3 linked regions of the Neodiprion lecontei genome follow. The protein of the gene in region 3 binds, or shares a complex with, the protein of the main gene of each other region. Links are inferred from orthologs where the notes say so. Each region holds a gene or a part of one and is shown on either strand. Other genes may lie near its edges.

Region 1 (5,817 bases), on a different chromosome or scaffold from region 3:
GGCGCCGCATGATCTTACCCAGTGAATCGCTCGAACCATGTGGTGTTTTTGATTTTCGTTAAATGTCGCGTGAGGGGCTTATTCGATTTATACTTTGAAGTTCCGAGAGAGTGAATACGACTTAGATACTGAATTATACGCCCTGGCCTGCGCAAGCACGTGCACAAGATTTAAGAATAAAACTGATTTTTCTAACCTGTTTTCTAATTATTTATAAAGCGACGTTCTCGTTTTAGGTGAACCATGGCGGATATAGAAACGTTCGACGATGTCGTAGTAACGAATTTGGAGGCTCTGCCGGTCGCTCTGTCCGCTGAGTTGCCAGAGATCAAATTGTTCGGTCGGTGGAACTGCGATGACGTTCAGGTCAGCGACATGTCCCTTCAGGATTACATTGCGGTCAAAGAAAAGAACGCAAAGTACCTGCCACATTCTGCCGGTCGATACGCTGCCAAACGTTTTCGCAAGGCGCAATGCCCCATTGTTGAGCGGTTGACCAATTCTTTAATGATGCATGGTAGGAACAATGGAAAGAAACTCATGGCTGTCAGAATCGTCAAGCACGCCTTTGAGATCATCCATCTACTCACAGGCGAAAATCCTCTGCAGGTAATATTCATTTCACATTCATCATTCTAATTAATATGATTCAATAAATTGGAAAATCATTGGATGGGTAATTTTCTCAATCAAATATCAATATGGATAACTGACCCGCGATGCTGAAGCTGGCAGCAAAATGTTGTAATGTTATTCCGAATAAGGTAGCAAAGTTCGAAAATCAAAATTGAGTGAAATACCTTGAATCCCCGATACTATTATAGAATTATGCGATTAAAACCAACCTGCGGTTTTCTATTTTCCAAAAAACGTTCAACACATTTGCTTGCTAACTCTGGTTGCTAGATTCAGCTTCATAAATTATCGAATTAGCATTTTTCAAAGCTACAATTGGAGTTGACGCCGTTGGATTTGATCACATCAAAATCTGTAACTTGAAGCAAGTTGAAGCTGACCTTAAATCAAAGAATTATTGTTTCTTAATTTGAACTTGGTTTTTCAACACATATTCATGGGCTTGTGTTATTCCTATTGCTTTAAGTTGCATTGCTTAAACCTTAACTTTATAATTTTTTTCTTATTTTAAAAGTAGCACAAGTTTATGTCACACATTCCTGAATTATTTGACATGTAAACTGTGTACAACATATTTCTTAGTTGTCAATACATAACATTCAGAATTGAACATTCTCGGAGAAAATTAAATAATGATTGCTCAAACTAGTATGTATACAGTATTTCCAAATAGATGCTCAGCGAAGGATTTTCATTATATTAAATAATGTGGATTTAACGTTACTCTTGGACCAAAGATATCATTTCAACAATAATTTTGACAGCGCAGAGTCACTGCTGTAAAATAAAGAAACTATAATTTCAAGTGCAGCAAAGGCACATTAATTGTTTTTAAGTTTTATTTCATGCTTATCTATTAAACTTTAGGTTCTGGTGACTGCGATAATAAACTCTGGACCTCGTGAAGATTCAACCCGTATTGGTCGTGCGGGTACGGTGCGTCGTCAAGCGGTTGATGTGTCACCACTGCGACGTGTAAATCAGGCGATCTGGCTATTGTGCACGGGCGCGCGTGAAGCAGCTTTCCGAAACATCAAAACAATCGCGGAATGCTTAGCCGATGAGCTAATCAACGCAGCGAAGGGATCATCAAATTCATACGCCATCAAGAAGAAGGATGAACTTGAACGTGTCGCCAAATCCAACCGATAAAACGGCACTTACTTTATGCTGTTTGTGTCTATCAAATTTTTATTGAGTATCAGACACCTGCGGTTGTTTAATAAATAAATAAAAATCTCAAAAAATACAAGGTTCGATTATTTACATGAGTTACTATATCAATAAACGCTGTTCCCCAGCAATCGTAGACTAATCCAAACAATTAATAGCCAATACGTATAGAAGCTATTTGGATGATTCTTGGGAGTAAAAATCAAAACCCGTTATCAAGGATCAATTTTAAATTAAAACCGATTTTTCGGAATGTATGTACATTTGCTTGATTCGCGATCATTTCAAAAAAGGCCCCAGTTTTCGAAATTCTGCGACCGCTGAATATCGTGCGAATAGCTCACTTAGCTGGACGTAGTTAGTAAAAAAATCGCTTGTCGCTGATAGTCAAACAGATGCCCGGTCCCATATTTGCATAGAGTAGGCCATCTATGTGAGCACGTAGTCTCGGGACTAGATATAAAATCGACCCTGGGTCAGTTTCCCGCGAATTGGTATAAAAGTGGTTGTGGCTGGCGGCTTTGTTTTTGTCTAGTATTATTTCATCAGTATATGAAATAAAGTGTTATCCTTCTACTCTGTAACAGCACGATCTAAACTAGCTACTGATTTGTGGCGGTTCATTTGCTAGTGATTTAAAACTAACATCAACATCATGACCACGTTCAATCTAACCGAAATACAAGAACAGCTAAACAAAGCCAGTGAAAAAACTCCTGAAAGTGGTGTTTCGTTTAATGGAAAATCACTGAAATTAAACAGCGAAGCGGACGGTAAGTCGAACCCTCTTCATACTCAGCTTTAAACAAACCAATTATCGTTCACGTAAAAGTCCGCGTCATCCTCGATGCTCAACGTGCTGCTTCACATAACCAAACTTTTATCAGACGCCGGTTCTCTCAGCGAACTCTACCTACCCTTTTATCTACCCAAAATACCTCAATCACACCAAATTTGACCCATTTTTATTAAATAATCACATCTGCTCACTTTCTGTGTTTTTAAAGCTGAGGAAGTCGTCAAAGCAATTGAACAATGTCAGAAATTGGATTACCTCGACTTGGAAGGAAACACGCTTGGTCCCGATGCGGCCAAGGCAGTGGCAAAGGCTTTGGAAGCGAAGGGTTCTTCGCTCAAACGAGCCCTGTGGAAAGACATGTTCACAGGGCGGATGAAGACTGAGATTCCTCTTGCCCTGGAATATCTAGGTACAGGACTATGTGCAGCCCAAACTCGCCTTGTCGAGCTTGATCTCAGTGACAATGCGTTTGGCCCTGTCGGCGTTAAGGGGTTGGCCACGCTACTCAGCTCTAGCGCATGTTTCACTCTACGTGAACTCAAACTGAACAACAATGGACTTGGAATAACGGGAGGAAAAATGCTAGCCAAAGCTCTTCTAAATTGTCATGAAAATAGTTCTAAGGAAAACGGTAATAATGTTTGGCACTTCGGTGTTTTACATTTATATAAAAGTTGATTTAAAATTTATCTCACTTGCTTACAGTGAATTGTGATTTTTTTTGTTTGCTTAAGTAGGAACAGCACCATTGGCCTTGCGAGTCTTCATTGCTGGACGAAACAGACTAGAAAATGATGGAGCTGCAGCACTGGCTGAGGTGTTCACAAAGCTGACTACCCTGGAAGAGATATCGATGCCACAAAATGGGATTTACCACAAAGGGATAGCTGCTCTAGCACAAGCGCTCTCCGTCAATCCAAGATTGAAGATTTTAAACCTCAACGATAACACAGTTGGGCCAGAGGGAGCACGAGCTCTAGCAAAATCCTTACCGAACTTGCCAGACCTGGAAAAACTTAATCTTGGAGATTGTTTGCTCAAAACACGGGGAGCCTCAGTGCTGGCTGAAGCACTAGCCAACGAAGGCGCACACCGCAATCTGATGGAATTGAATTTGAGCTTTAACGAAATAGGCGCGGCTAGTATCGATGCAATAGTAGCGGCCGTTGCGGATAAGCAGGAATTGACGAGCTTAGTACTTGATGGCAACGTTTTTGGTAGCAAAGGAAGAGAAAACTTAGAAGGAGCACTTATTGCTTCGCAAAAACTATCGGTTCTTGGGAGTCTTGAGGAGAATGAATCTGAAAGCGAAGGCGATAGCGAAAGTGGAGAGGAAACTGAAAGTGAGGACAGCGACGATGAAAACAAGACTTCTGAAGTAGAAAAGGAAGACGATCAAGAGATATCAAAGATCGAAAAGGATAAACAGAACGTGACGGTTCAGGACTTTTTGAAAAATCCAACTGCTGAAAACCTTCTCCGACTTCAAGGCGACAAAATACAGTTGTTCTTGGAACACGCTAAGGTATGTGCATGCATCACATCCATATCACTATTTTTTCCATTTCTGTTCAGTTCTTCGCGATTTTTTTTTAAAACTTTAAAATCATTCTGTAAATTTTCAGAGTCAGTCTGTAAACGGACACGAATCTCAAAAAGAAACATATGCTGAAGTGCTTATTAGATCTATAATGAAGGTTTCTTCGTTGTGTGCTAGCGGCTATATGGATGCCAGAATAGAGGCAGAACGAGTGACAGACGGGCTTTACATGGAATTGTTTGCATATGCGACAAAAACTGACCAAGTTTCCCAACTAAACAATGTTTTTCTGATTAATTTGGGCTTGATTAAGGTATTTCATATAATATGTGATATAGCAGATATTTTTTGATGTAGAAGAGAAGAAAAATACTTGGTAAATGGATCCAAAATTTAATACAATAATTTAATTAAATTTCAGAGTGAGGATAAAACTGCTGGTAGAATTGATTGGAATCTCGAGGGATGCTTTAAAGCATTGGAGAAAATAAGCACCAAGGATTATTTTCTAACAGAGACTAGGAATGCCCTAAAAGTATTCATTGAACTACCAATAAAAACTGGAAAAGTCAGGGTAGACCCATTTCAGAACGTTAAGGCTTCTCTCAAGAAGGTTCTCGACCAAATATGATTGAATTAAATTAGTCTGATGGCGGAATGATTCATATATTTCCTGTACAAAACATTAAATATTTATTAATAATTCGTAAGAATTTATTTTTATACATTAGGCATTGTGGTTTTATGGTAATAGGCACGCGGTTGATTATCAGTGAACCAGTGGTGAGAGATGGTAGCGATAATACGCCGCGAAATCAATAATTAATTTATATAGCAATGTGCCCTAATGTACTGAATTTTGGCAGCAGATTTTTATGCTGAATGCGACGTCAAAAATACGTATGTTTTAATTTAACAATTTTAATTGTCATTCAATTTAAATTTAAAATACAAGCTTTCAGCCTCATTGCATGACTGTAACACTATTTTTTTAAACGGATATTAACGATTTTACAGATTAAAACATGTAAGAAACAAAGAAATTTTTCAATTGCTCAATTCGTCGTGATATCGGCATTTGTAACATGATACTACAACTTATTTGGGTAAAAAAAAGTGTTTTGGCTTATTGTTGAACTACGACATTTCCTACTATGTTAATTTATTCCGACTACAAGCTTTAAAATTCAAAAAGAATTATACTGCACAATATTCTTTTTTCTCAGAAAGTCCAAAAATGAACATGGATGAGGATTAATTAATTACATTTTGGTCATTTATCACTACTGAAATATATTTATATTATCTATATCTGAACACAGTGAAATCACATCACATTTTCTCATCGTACTCTATTGTATAAAAATAGTATGTGTAAATTTCTTTTCCTTAAAACTGAACATCTAATTGAGCTTGGATAGAATTAATATCAAAGGTAAACATGTATAAGATCATCGGCTAACTGCCTGCATAACGGACATCGTAATGGGTGGGATAATAGTTGGGTGCAATTGGTGCAAAGGCACAAATGTCGGCAAGGTAAAAGACACACAGATCTTGCTTTTCCAAAGCATACTATACATAGTTCAGTCTCTTGTAATTTATAGTTATCTTGTCCTTGGCGCCTCCTAGCGATTGTCATTCCTCTTTTGACTCTTCTCCATGTTGT
Region 2 (5,660 bases), on a different chromosome or scaffold from region 3:
ACAGAACATACAATAAGTAGTAAGTACTCTGATGTTACTAGGGTGGTTCTTGAAACGAATTTTGTTGAATTTTCACGGAGCCTTCGCCTAAATCAGTTCCAAATAAATATATCAAAATCATTTCAAAGCACGAATCTATATCGACTACAAACCTCGGGCAAGGGGATTGAATTGCACCATTTAAAAGATATGGGGTTTTCCATGCAAACTCAGTTAACGTTTGATCGTGACATTTTTTAGTACCATTCAGGATTTTTCCTACATTAGTACGATCTCTGAAAACCTTCCAAAAAACCTTGAAACTTTTTTTAATCACGGTAGTCACCTATGAATTTTTAATCCCATCTCAAAAATACCCTAATTGATTTTTGCAAACTAAGGAAAACAAACATTCCGCTTTCAAAGTAAAACAATTTCACCCAGATTCAGAGTGGAAGTGCATTTTTTTTTCGTTTTTGTGAAATTGTGTTTTCTAGTTTAATACCTGTTTAAAATCTATTACAATCCATGTATTCGCATCTCTGAATGACTACTGATTTTTTAAAATTCTTTTTCCAGTCCTAAAACACTCATTATTTTTTTCAAAATTTTATAACAGAATTTGAACAGGAACGAATAAATGACCCTATATGCGATTAGAATATAGTACAAGTGTGTAATAGAGTTGCACTGGTGCAAGGATACAGATGCGGGTCAGTGCAATTACTTGCATTTATTATCATTTAGTCAGTCACGTACCTGAATCAGTTTTTTTAAGAACAAATAATAATTCTCCTCCGAGTTATTTGGTCCTGATGGAGGCGCAGGCATTGTCGCAGCACTGTAAATGCATCGCAAAGCCTCTTCAGAATAAAGAATCATCAATTGCTTCCTGTCTTCCGCTTTACCCTTGCGATTAACAATCTGCAACAGACACTCTGCAGCTGGGCATTGGAATGTTGGGTTGCCGAGCAGTACACAAAGGATTTGCAATAACCGACCATCTTCTGCCATCACGTGAGCTATCGACACCCATTCCACAAATCCGGTCAAGGTAAGCAGAACAACCTGAAAACACAATGAAGTGATAAAACAACTTTTATTTGTTGCTTTTTGCCAAGAACACGCGAATTCCGAAAATGACGCAAGGGTACGTTTGAGAAATGACTCAACCTCAGAAAAGTGAAACTGGTTTGTATCAGTTTAGTTACCTGGACAACTTTTCCATGGGCGGTAGCTTCATTTACATGGCCCAAGCTGTTTGCTTCTTGGAACTTTGTAAAATGTTGTTCGATCAGTCTTAAGAAGAAGGTAAATATTTCTGCCATGTTGGTTGTCAATGCCTGATATATATCTTTTCTTCTCTGGTTTGACTCCAATGTTTGCAGTAGAGCAACATCCTCAACCAGTCTCAAAAACACCAGCAGTACCAGTTCTGTTTGGCTTTCGCCTCTGGTACAGGCATGGCTGAGCTCAGCCAAAAGTGTCGGCCACTGCTGCGGCCATTCCCGTTTGATCATTTCCACAATCACGCGGGATAAGGCATCTTTTATGTGCGTTTCTTCTTGCATAAACGGTTCCGTACCGTCTTGCAGTAATTTCATGGCATTCTCTTTGATAAATAACTTTTCGGGCTGTGACATCTGGGTCCACCGGTATTTCACACAGTGTTCCATCAGCTGTAGCCCAAAATGTCGCACGACCGAACTGCTGTTTACATATTTCTGAGCAAGGAATAGGCCACACTGGGCGCACAGGGGAGATGATTCTTTGAAACGTTCACATGCCGCGTAGGCTTCGAGGCGCTGTTCGTGTGGTATGCCAGGTGACATCATCACCTCGACGACTTGAGCTAATTCAGCCGATATCTGGGCAACATCCCCCACGCCCGCGTCCATACCTCCTTGGTTAAAGCACCAAAGGCCAGCTACTTACTTGCCTGCTACTGTAAAGAACATACCTGTGATACCTCAATAGCTTTACAAGCAGTTGCATGAAATGATGCAACAATCACTCTAAATTTCTAATGCTCCATTGTTTGCTCGCAATTACTTCTGACTTATCTAAATAAATAGGTCAATTCTCAAGAATAGAGTGGAACCTCATTTATCGAAGTCTACGTCATCTAGTTTCGCGATTATTCGAGTTCGTCTCATCGGCGACAGACACGAATATCTGCTGTTTCTAAGTGCTAATAAATATATAAGTCTATTGCAGTTGAACTTTATTTTTGTAATGCGTTCTTTCCGAAGACGTGTGTATTTGTTTGTATTTATAGTCATTGTTTAATGTTTTTGATTTAATTTAAACACACATGTCTGTTTGTTAATAGAGAAAATCGTCATTAATATTTAACATTTCTTAAAAATGTATTATTTCTTTATTTCCTGCTATCCGAATGTTTTGATTATTTGAGCTAGGATGAGTACACAACGGCTTGGATTAGCAAGATTTTGCTGTATAAATTACATGGCAATAGCGATCAAGGTGATATTTATTTACCTTTCATACCTTAGTAAACTAATTTAATTCACAATGCTGTTAAATTTCCTGAAACACACTCAACGAGTTGAACCTACATACTTATGACTTGACGCTCAAATTAAATTTCATTGCTCATTCGAGTGGTTCAATTTTACTCGTATTCACTTCATGCATACTGGGCAATAAAACTTGCAACTATATGTTTCTGTTTCATATTTACTAAAGTATGAATCCGTTTTTACGTTCACACAAAGTAAAAGACACACATGCTGTTACTTCCAACCCGCGTTAACAACTGACTCATGACTTCGTTGATGCTGATATCATATGTACACAAATATTCTATATGTACATTCGAAGATATCATGAATTTGATCGGTGGAAAATTTTTGGCTTCCTCGCCGTTTGAAAAAAAAAATAGTCAACGCGGGTCGAAGAGTCTATAATGCAAATTTCAGATAAATCTGGCTAAATTGGTAAGAACGATCGTCTACAGAGAACACGCACGATACACACGCCGCCGACCATGCCTTGACAGGTACCAGGAAACAATGAATATTACCTGAAATGTCGTGCGCGTTTTCGGCAAGCTAAGTTCAAGAATTCCTCTCGCACTCCGATGAACAAGACAGGATAACAGTCCAAATCACGAATAACATTACTATTGAGAAAAAATTGATAATTACCCCAAATGATCGTTCCGCGATGCGGCTCGCTAACGGCTGGACGATGCGTACTCGCATGTGGTGCCCCCTACGGGCGAGCTGTGAAGTTTCAATTTTAAATCACCGACATAACACCCCGCTGGGATTACGCCGAACGAAAAGGTAGGGTTAGGTTAGTTTGGTTTTCAGCTGGATTATCCGCAAGTACACAGAACGTTGTGCCGTGTCGTCCTTCTACGTTCACGGCGATTTACATCTGAGATCTGCAAATGGGAGGATAATATAAACCAATGTACTTTGAGCTGACCTTATTCGGCTTGTCTCTTGGCTCCACGAGGCTGCGTCTGACCCAACCTAACCTAATCTAACCTACCCCAACGTACCTGAAAGCCCGCGTGAGAGGCATAACCTCGTAAATACGCGTCACGCCGTAGCTCGCGTCAAACGATAGAGCAAACCGTCTCGCCTTGTCTGAGGAATTATTGCGTGTGATTTGTGACAAACATTCGGTACAGAATAGCGCAGTGTTACAGCGGTAATGGACGAAGCTATCGTAACACCACCCACCTATAAGCTGAACTTTTCCGAGCAGATTTATTGCGTCGAGTTGTCACCCTATGAATGGTCGCAACGTTTGATTTGTATTGCTCTCACCGGCAAGATTACTATCGGGATTGTAAAGTTCCAGGTACAGATTCGTATTACCATGGCTGCACAGAGCCGAGCCCTTATCAATTCCATTGCTGTATGATTTCATTTTTCTAATACGCAGGATGAGGACGACGATGTTGAAGACATCGATTACTGTCCAATTCGAACGTTTCATCACGAAACGAGAGCAGATGCGCTTTCCTGGAGTCCAGAAACCTCCCTGAGTGTTGTACCAAAGGTCGTAGTCTTCTGTGTTGCTGGGGCAGATTTTAAGATACGGTTGTACAATAGTAATTTAAACGACATCAATACATATCAAGTGAGTCGCATTGTTGGTATTTATTTATCTTTGTTTTGCCATTCCTCTCTCCAGTTACGTGAGCGTGAGAAGAAAAATTAATTGTTCAGACTTGCTGTTGGCTTAGTGTGTAACACGGAATTGGTCAAAATGGGAATTTTTTTTTTTATACAATACGATTTAGATAAGTTTAAATGATTGCAGCCCTTTTTCTGCTATTGCTAAAGTTGGAAAAAAAACACAGCCACACCAACTCACGAAGTAGAGACTATGCTACAGACTTCTCACCTTCAGCGTAGCTAGTGCATGATTCACATATAGTTATCCTGGCTGAAAATGCAACAAAAAAAGAAAAAACCACATAAATACAGACTACTACCTAAATCAGATTTTCCGTTTAGGTTACTCATAGTTAAGCAAAGTTGTAACTGATAGGTTCTAGATGGGCACACAGATTACATCAATTCGATCTCCTACGAGCTGGAAGGTGATATTCTGGCCTCAGTCTCCGACGATCATACCTGTAAATTGTGGGACACCAAAGAGGAAAAAAGATGTAATATTACATTTTATCTAACATCTCCAGGCATGTCTGTATGCTGGCACAAAGAAGAAACTGGCAAGTTGTTAGTAGCTGAAAAAAATGGATCAATACGAATGTACAACATTATAAGCCAGCAGGCGATATTGTCTCTTGACACTGGTGTTACACCCCTTATGTCTGCTGATTGGGGGGCAAATCCGCTGAAGGTTGCAGCTATGGCGGCTGGTGAGCTACTAGTTTGGGATGTATCCAGACCCAGGTACGATACTTGCTGCTTATGAATTCACTCTTTACGAATTTTAAAACTTGTTTTTCACTAAGAGATATCTCATCGTTTTCAGCCGGCCTATGGAGTCCCGACCCTTGCACGTGGAAGGAGGCCAGATGATCAAGTTTTATCCAGCTGTCGAGTATTTACTTGCCAGCATTGGCAGGCCTGATAATGAACTTAAAGTGATAAATTTGAAATCCAAACAAGTAGTTCTTACCAGTCGCTTGAAGCTCGTCGGCGGAATGAGCTGGCATCATAAGTTACCCTTCATCTGCGCAGGCAATGACAGAGATCTCTGTTTTTGGAAATTGAATCTGAAGTAACTTGCTGGACACACCAATCATCTGTTGGAAGTTAAAATTGCGGATTCTCTACATGATGGTGACTTGCAAATTGACATAAAGTAGCTGGAGGAACTGATGATATTCAGGGAAAAAAAGTGTCGAGTTTCACGTTATTTTTTAAAAATTATATATAAAATGTAATTAAAAAAAAGTGACAGAACATTGCAAAAGATGTCAGGATGACAATCTATGCCAAAGGATGGATGACAGGGTGGATCAACGACGGTTTCTGAATTTTTCAGAATATACCCAAGATTAGTGGGTGGGTGAATCCAATATGCGTAATATGAGATACATGATGAAATATGTCGTGTGATTAACGGAGTTTGTTCCATAATATTTACATTTATATGCTCAGAGTAAATACCTACACCTGAACGTGAAAAATTACACCTACCATAACAATAAAGCTGAAAGTAACATT
Region 3 (5,613 bases):
TACCAAACTCATGCCTTCACTATCAATAATACACACATTTAAAATTACTACCTCTAGCCAAGTGGTTTCTGCATGCTCTCAAGGTAGAAAACAGCGGAAACCCTTGCATTATGCAAACTGCACTGTTATACAGTACATGGACCTCTTCGGATAGTCCAGAATCTCCAACATGCCGGGAAGGAGAATGTGATTGACATTTGATTCCCAAAACTGCTTCATTGTGAAGCTGTTCGTCAATCAACAATGCACCAGTCTACAACAATTAATGATTTGGTACGTAATCTGAACAAAAATGACTTATTTGGCTTGTATTATACAAATTGGAAAAAATGCTCTAACATTTCTTTTCATGGATAATTCTGGTTTACCTCTGTATAGAACCTTATAAACCCACTAGAAAATCCAACGGCCATACAGGTCCAATCAGGACCGCTACCAGCACTGGTTTTGCCTAAAGATATAAGAGGTAGACATGCCAGACATGTTATCTGTTCACTGAAACAAAATAAAAGTTGTTGAATAACCCCAATCTGTGGTGGAATATCATTCTAGCCCAACGAAATTAGAAAAACTTACTTCTCCTCATCCGTTACATCTCCACTCCATGTAAGATGAAATTTCATTTTCACATCTCCAGGTTCATGCGAATCCCATTTTGCTGTATTGACAAACAGTGTGTGAAAAATTACAACGTTTACGGAATTAATTGTCGTTATTTGTATGAAATGAACTTTAATGCTTATAGTATAATACAGGCATATCAATCATTGGCTAGTATTAGAAAGATGTTAAAATTTTTGAATACTCAGTATTATTAAGTTTTCTACTATGCCGTGATGAAAAATTGAAAATATTTTAGGTCCAGTAATCGGCACCTTAATCTTGAATTTTAGACGTGATACTAGCAAGATAATGGTTGAAGATGGATCTAAAATTTATGAAGAACTTTACCGAGCTATTTGGCTTCGCAAATTGAATATATTCAGTTCACGTACTAACATTTTGTATATTCTTACTCTATTATTGCAAAAATATATATAGTATGACTTTGTGTCTCTTATGCTTACAAAATTTGTACTATTTAACGTTTTGTCGTTTGACACAGAATAAAGTTATATCTAGCCCAATTGTGGTGTGGAAACAGCTATGCATTTAAAAGGCTCTTGAAAGGCATTTTATTTTGCTTATACCTCTTTTTAATGTAGGGAAAAACTGTTCATATAAGCTCGTAAGCTAGAATGAGTTTGATAGGCTTATTCGAAAACATCACCGCTACTCTATTTGAGCTCTGCGATATAAGCTTGTCAAAAGCGGGGTAAGTTTTATTGAACTAGGAACTATCATCGATTCTGTGGATTTTATTTGTGTGTTTTTAAAAAGTTTATTTCGTATGAAGAATTCTGTGATTCTATCATCGGTAATAAATCAGATGCAGGTCGAGATGATTGTATCGCTCCTTTTGTTGTATAAGAAAGTCATCAAGAGGATGTTGTGGTGATAAGCAAAAACTTGTACTGTTGCTCAATGAGTTTTTGCTGTAAACTTACACGTCAGAATGACCATATTTTTATTCCAAGCAATTGCGAGGACATCCCCTGCTGGTGATAAGGAGATAATAAGATCTTGAAGAGGTAGTTCTTTATCCGGTACATAATCCACTGAAAGATTGGGTATAAATATGTAGATATAGATGGGTGTAACGTACATATTGTTTATTGGATAACCTTAGTGGTTACTGTTATTGATGACAGTTGAGATTTTAATTGAATGGGATTTTCTTACGTTTGGAGCCAGCATCTCTGAGTAAGGAATTCTTGACGTTGGGCAAATCGACCAAATTAGCGATTCCTTTGATTTGGCACGACATTTTCGTGCTGACACTTTATTATAAATATGTTGTTAAATGACTCTCATCTCGAATATGCATGAATATGCAGACTGTAGCGGAATAAAGTTTGATGGAAATTGACTGAAAAGTTAGTAGAATTGTCAGATCATATGACACGATGTTTCTGAGAATGCTAGTATATATTGCGGAATTTCAAATAACGCGTTCTAAGTTCCTTAAAAGAGAGGATAGATGCAGCGTACATTATGTCCGGATAAATTTTGGCGCGCGCCGAATAGAAATAAATACAATTTCGAAATATGATACACTTAAAAACAGAATCCTTCCGTAAATTTTTATTACAAGGTAAAAATGAGCACACGTGTTTCCGTGACGTCATGTGACGTCCACTGACGTCATACTAAACTATCGTTTATGCGATTGAGGATTGGTCGAAATTGGTGTAGCCTACCAATGGTGAACGTTGTTTCTCCGCATTTGTCGCGTAAAATTTTCGGCCATCTTGTTATTATTTTCGAAAATCTTTAGGTTGGGTTTCGCGACGACATAGTTGACGGGTTTGCTCGTATTATCGGTGGAAAAAATCACATGAAATTCGCATGAAACCTGGGGAAAGTAGGTTTGACGTACATCGGCCTCGGTGGGTATATTATTTTAGTGTATTTGATTCTGATAGTGGAAGAGAGAGAAAGTAGAGAGTTGGAGAAATGAGTGAGAAAGAGCGAAACTGCGAGTGTGTGGAACGAGGAGCGAGAAGTGTGTAGCGCGCGGGAATCGTCGACTTGTGTGTTTAGCCCTTTTGTGCTTGTGGTTAATTACTCTGAAACGTAACGACTGGCGAGAGAAAGAAAATAAAACGTCCTTTTTTTTACCCCGGGGACGGGAAGCTGTATGAAAGAGTTTATACGGTAGGTCAAAACCTTCAATCTCAAATCACCTTCGCCCAACGGGCAACGACGCAATGGAAAAACGGCAGCCGGGCTTCCTGGACGACCGAATTTACACTATTTAACCTAACTCCGGTAGTCGTCGTCGAGTCTCATTATGTTAGTATCGTTTCCTCTACTCATCCGATTCCACTCTAAATATTACACTATATTTCAAAATCCGAAATTCACATAACCTTGTTTGCGATTGTCAGATGTAGGTTAGGTCGGTTGTTCGGTCGGTCGCAGTGCGGTGACCTCCCCTGCGGCACGCTTCCTAGCATTTTTGGTTTTTTCCGTTTTTTCGGCACGTGGAGGAATCGGGCTCCTTGAATTCTCAACATTTGTTCGGAAAATTTATTTATCCCCAAATTAATCATGGCACATGATCCCCCCTCCCCTCCCTCCCCTTCCCAACTCTCTTCTGAATAGACAAAGTATACATCAAGCACCATCCCATTATGTATGGCATGAAGTTTAGAATAATGGATGCATCTTTTTTGAAGGTTCTTTGAGATTCAGATTTCAGAATTTCAGTGACTTTTTGGGCATGTTTCCTTAGCAAGATCAATTTCGATGCTATCGGTATCAAAAATTGGATGGAAACTAGGTGCACCAAGCATCGTACTTACAAATTTTTAAATCTTGTATCAGTAAATGAAAATGTTCTTAGATTGAGAGTTGTTGCGTTGAAATTTAATCTAAAAACAAGTAATGTATTGTCCTCATTGAATAAACAAACATACGTGATTACACATGTCGGGGCATGTGCTTAAACTTTGATATCTAATTTTAATTAATCATTGAGAAATCAATTCGAAAGTTAATGATGTTTTCATTATTTTTCTTTTGCTTATTTTGTTCTTAAGCACTTTGGAATCTTTCCATGTAGTCTCATATTTCAATATTATTGAAATTGTAATGATTGAACCGCAAGTGCATCATACTTCATGGCAAATATTGATCAGTTATCAAATTTGCTAACAAACGCTGTTTAAGTGCACACCGAAACAACTTGGGAACAACGTATTCTATAGCGGTCAATGAACATTTTTACATTGTAATTTTTGTTTATTTATTCTATCAAGCTGAAATTACGTTGTCAGACCATATGCTTCCGGATTTATCATAATTCGCAAATTTTCACATATATTCTAAAACCTGAGTTTTTGTGTCTTTCTACACTGCACGAGCTATGCTTAAAAATTATGTTAGGTAAAAAGAAACTCGAAAAAATTAGTCCCTCAGTTGGGCACTTTGTTTTTAGGTACCCATATGTAAATAAGATTGCCTAGGAAATATTGTTTGTTTAGAATGTTATGATTATAAGTTATCAGTATTCATTAAAATTTAGTTACCACAATTCTACTGTTTACATGCAACTGTTAGTCTCTATTTGATCAGCAGCAACCTCTAAACTAAAATATTTACTAGAGTCGTAGTGCAGGCTCATCACTGTTGACGCATTACAAGTAACAATGCAAATAATGATATTTTTTTTGTGTGCAGATTGAGTGTGTGAAAGCAAGGGTAATAAGTGAGTGCAATGGCGACACTTGCAGAGCAAGCGTCCAAGTTATTGGACTTCAACCAAAAGCTGGACATCACGCTCCTGGATAATATAGTCGGATGCATGTATACTGGGGTTGGTGAACAACAGCGTGTTGCTCAGGAAGTGCTAACCACCCTCAAAGAACATCCAGATGCGTGGACACGAGTTGACACCATCTTAGAATACTCACAGGTGAGTTATGCCAATTGTAGAGAAAACTTTGACCATTGAATGAAAAGTGTGAAAATCTTTTTATTCAAGTAATCATTTCATAATCAACAGCCGTCAATGTAGAGAGACATGGTCATGCCTTCCACTAGCATCACCATAAATGATTTGGTTAATTCTGTAACTCTTAGCTGAAAGTTATTCACACCAAATTTAGCACCGTTGCCTTTTTGGTCTATTTGACATCAATTACCAAATAAAAATAATTCCCTTCAATTTTTCATTGTATTGCAACAAAGAAAAATATCAAATTATTATAGTTAGCCATTTAAGTTGGTGATTTCGAAAATTTAAAATTGATTGCGAAATTCTATAGACCAGAAAGTAAGAAGAGTATCAATTTATTTTTTTTGGATAGTTGGAATTTATTTTAGACAAAGAAAAAAGTTCAGCTGCACAGAATTAATAGTTCTCACTAAAGTTAACATTTTGGAATAAGTAAACTTCAGAATAAAAGTGGAAACCTTCAGCATCTAATTTTTTTCAGTGGTTCTAACAATTTGTATAAAATTTCAATCTTGAAACAGTTGAATCAAGATAGAATTAAATTACGAGTTCTGAAAAACCTCAAAACTCTGAAAGTTTAGTATGATCATGTCAATTTCACAGTGATTTAAAAAAAAAAAATGGTCATTATGATGTTCATTTTTCTCTCCGAAATAAAGAATCTTGAATGAACAGAGTATGTGAATGAAACAGGAATGCGTCTAACTTTTTCATTAATTCTTTAGAATCAACAAACAAAGTACTACGCACTACAGATCTTAGAGCAGGTTATCAAGACACGGTGGAAAGTTCTACCAAGGAATCAATGTGAGGGTATTAAAAAGTATATTGTCGGGTTGATCATCAAAACTAGTAGCGACCTGGAAACAATGGAGGCCTCTAAGGTCTACTTAAACAAGCTGAATATGATCCTTGTGCAGGTAATAATTGAAAAAAAATAAAATAAAAGAAAACTGTTTTCTTTGCGGGAATACTTATTATCACTATTTAACACGTGATGCTGATGTTTAGGTTCTAAAACGAGAATGGCCAAAGAACTGGGAATCCTTCAT

What was found.
Region 1: the proteins of exportin-1 (region 3) and ran GTPase-activating protein 1 are in contact, whole or in part, in a cryo-EM structure (PDB 9B62), measured with the Homo sapiens proteins. The link is inferred for Neodiprion lecontei from reciprocal best matches to the Homo sapiens genes XPO1 and RANGAP1. Residues at the interface, in NP_003391.1 of Homo sapiens: Lys245, Ser248, Thr249, Tyr252, Lys253, Glu281, Gln282, Val284, Thr285, Leu289, Met292, Gln293, Gln296, Arg340, Asn342, Leu343, Lys514, Val518, Ile521, Lys522, Leu525, Glu529, Arg532, Lys534, Lys537, Ala538, Ala541, Met545, Phe554, His558; in NP_001265580.1 of Homo sapiens: Ala2, Asp5, Ile6, Leu9, Ala10, Thr12, Leu13, Ala14, Thr16, Gln17, Val18, Ala19, Gln22, Leu23, Ser24, Phe25, Lys28, Glu44, Arg55, Ala561, Thr564, Lys565, Pro566, Ser568, Glu571, Ser572, Ser574, Phe575, Arg577, His578.
Region 2: exportin-1 (region 3) and exportin-5 share a complex: the UniProt entries of both Homo sapiens proteins name them as parts of the nuclear export receptor complex. The link is inferred for Neodiprion lecontei from reciprocal best matches to the Homo sapiens genes XPO1 and XPO5.

Annotation. Positions count from the first base shown.
Region 1 is NC_060261.1:1,574,640-1,580,456, reverse strand, and holds ran GTPase-activating protein 1, read left to right. Parts: upstream 1-2,286; 5' UTR 2,287-2,464; coding exon 2,465-2,582; intron 2,583-2,816; coding exon 2,817-3,239; intron 3,240-3,342; coding exon 3,343-4,133; intron 4,134-4,233; coding exon 4,234-4,461; intron 4,462-4,569; coding exon 4,570-4,779; 3' UTR 4,780-4,858; downstream 4,859-5,817. Other genes in the region: 40S ribosomal protein S5, read left to right, coding at 244-609, 1,504-1,788; uncharacterized protein LOC107216960, read right to left, coding at 5,578-5,817. UniProt on the Homo sapiens protein: GTPase activator for RAN. Converts cytoplasmic GTP-bound RAN to GDP-bound RAN, which is essential for RAN-mediated nuclear import and export. Mediates dissociation of cargo from nuclear export complexes containing XPO1, RAN and RANBP2 after nuclear export.
Region 2 is NC_060265.1:3,219,374-3,225,033, forward strand, and holds the start of exportin-5, read right to left. Parts: upstream 3,271-5,660; 5' UTR 3,150-3,270; intron 3,130-3,149; exon of another isoform or gene 3,026-3,129; intron 1,925-3,025; 5' UTR 1,878-1,924; coding exon 1,191-1,877; intron 1,048-1,190; coding exon 739-1,047; intron 1-738. Other genes in the region: nucleoporin Nup37, read left to right, coding at 3,667-3,816, 3,901-4,098, 4,513-4,880, 4,963-5,215. UniProt on the Homo sapiens protein: Mediates the nuclear export of proteins bearing a double-stranded RNA binding domain (dsRBD) and double-stranded RNAs (cargos). XPO5 in the nucleus binds cooperatively to the RNA and to the GTPase Ran in its active GTP-bound form.
Region 3 is NC_060262.1:35,772,547-35,778,159, reverse strand, and holds the start of exportin-1, read left to right. Parts: upstream 1-2,352; 5' UTR 2,353-2,489; intron 2,490-2,506; exon of another isoform or gene 2,507-2,757; intron 2,758-4,284; 5' UTR 4,285-4,321; coding exon 4,322-4,519; intron 4,520-5,286; coding exon 5,287-5,481; intron 5,482-5,572; coding exon 5,573-5,613. Other genes in the region: rab3 GTPase-activating protein non-catalytic subunit, read right to left, coding at 52-253, 369-495, 577-658, 1,548-1,658, 1,783-1,867. UniProt on the Homo sapiens protein: Mediates the nuclear export of cellular proteins (cargos) bearing a leucine-rich nuclear export signal (NES) and of RNAs.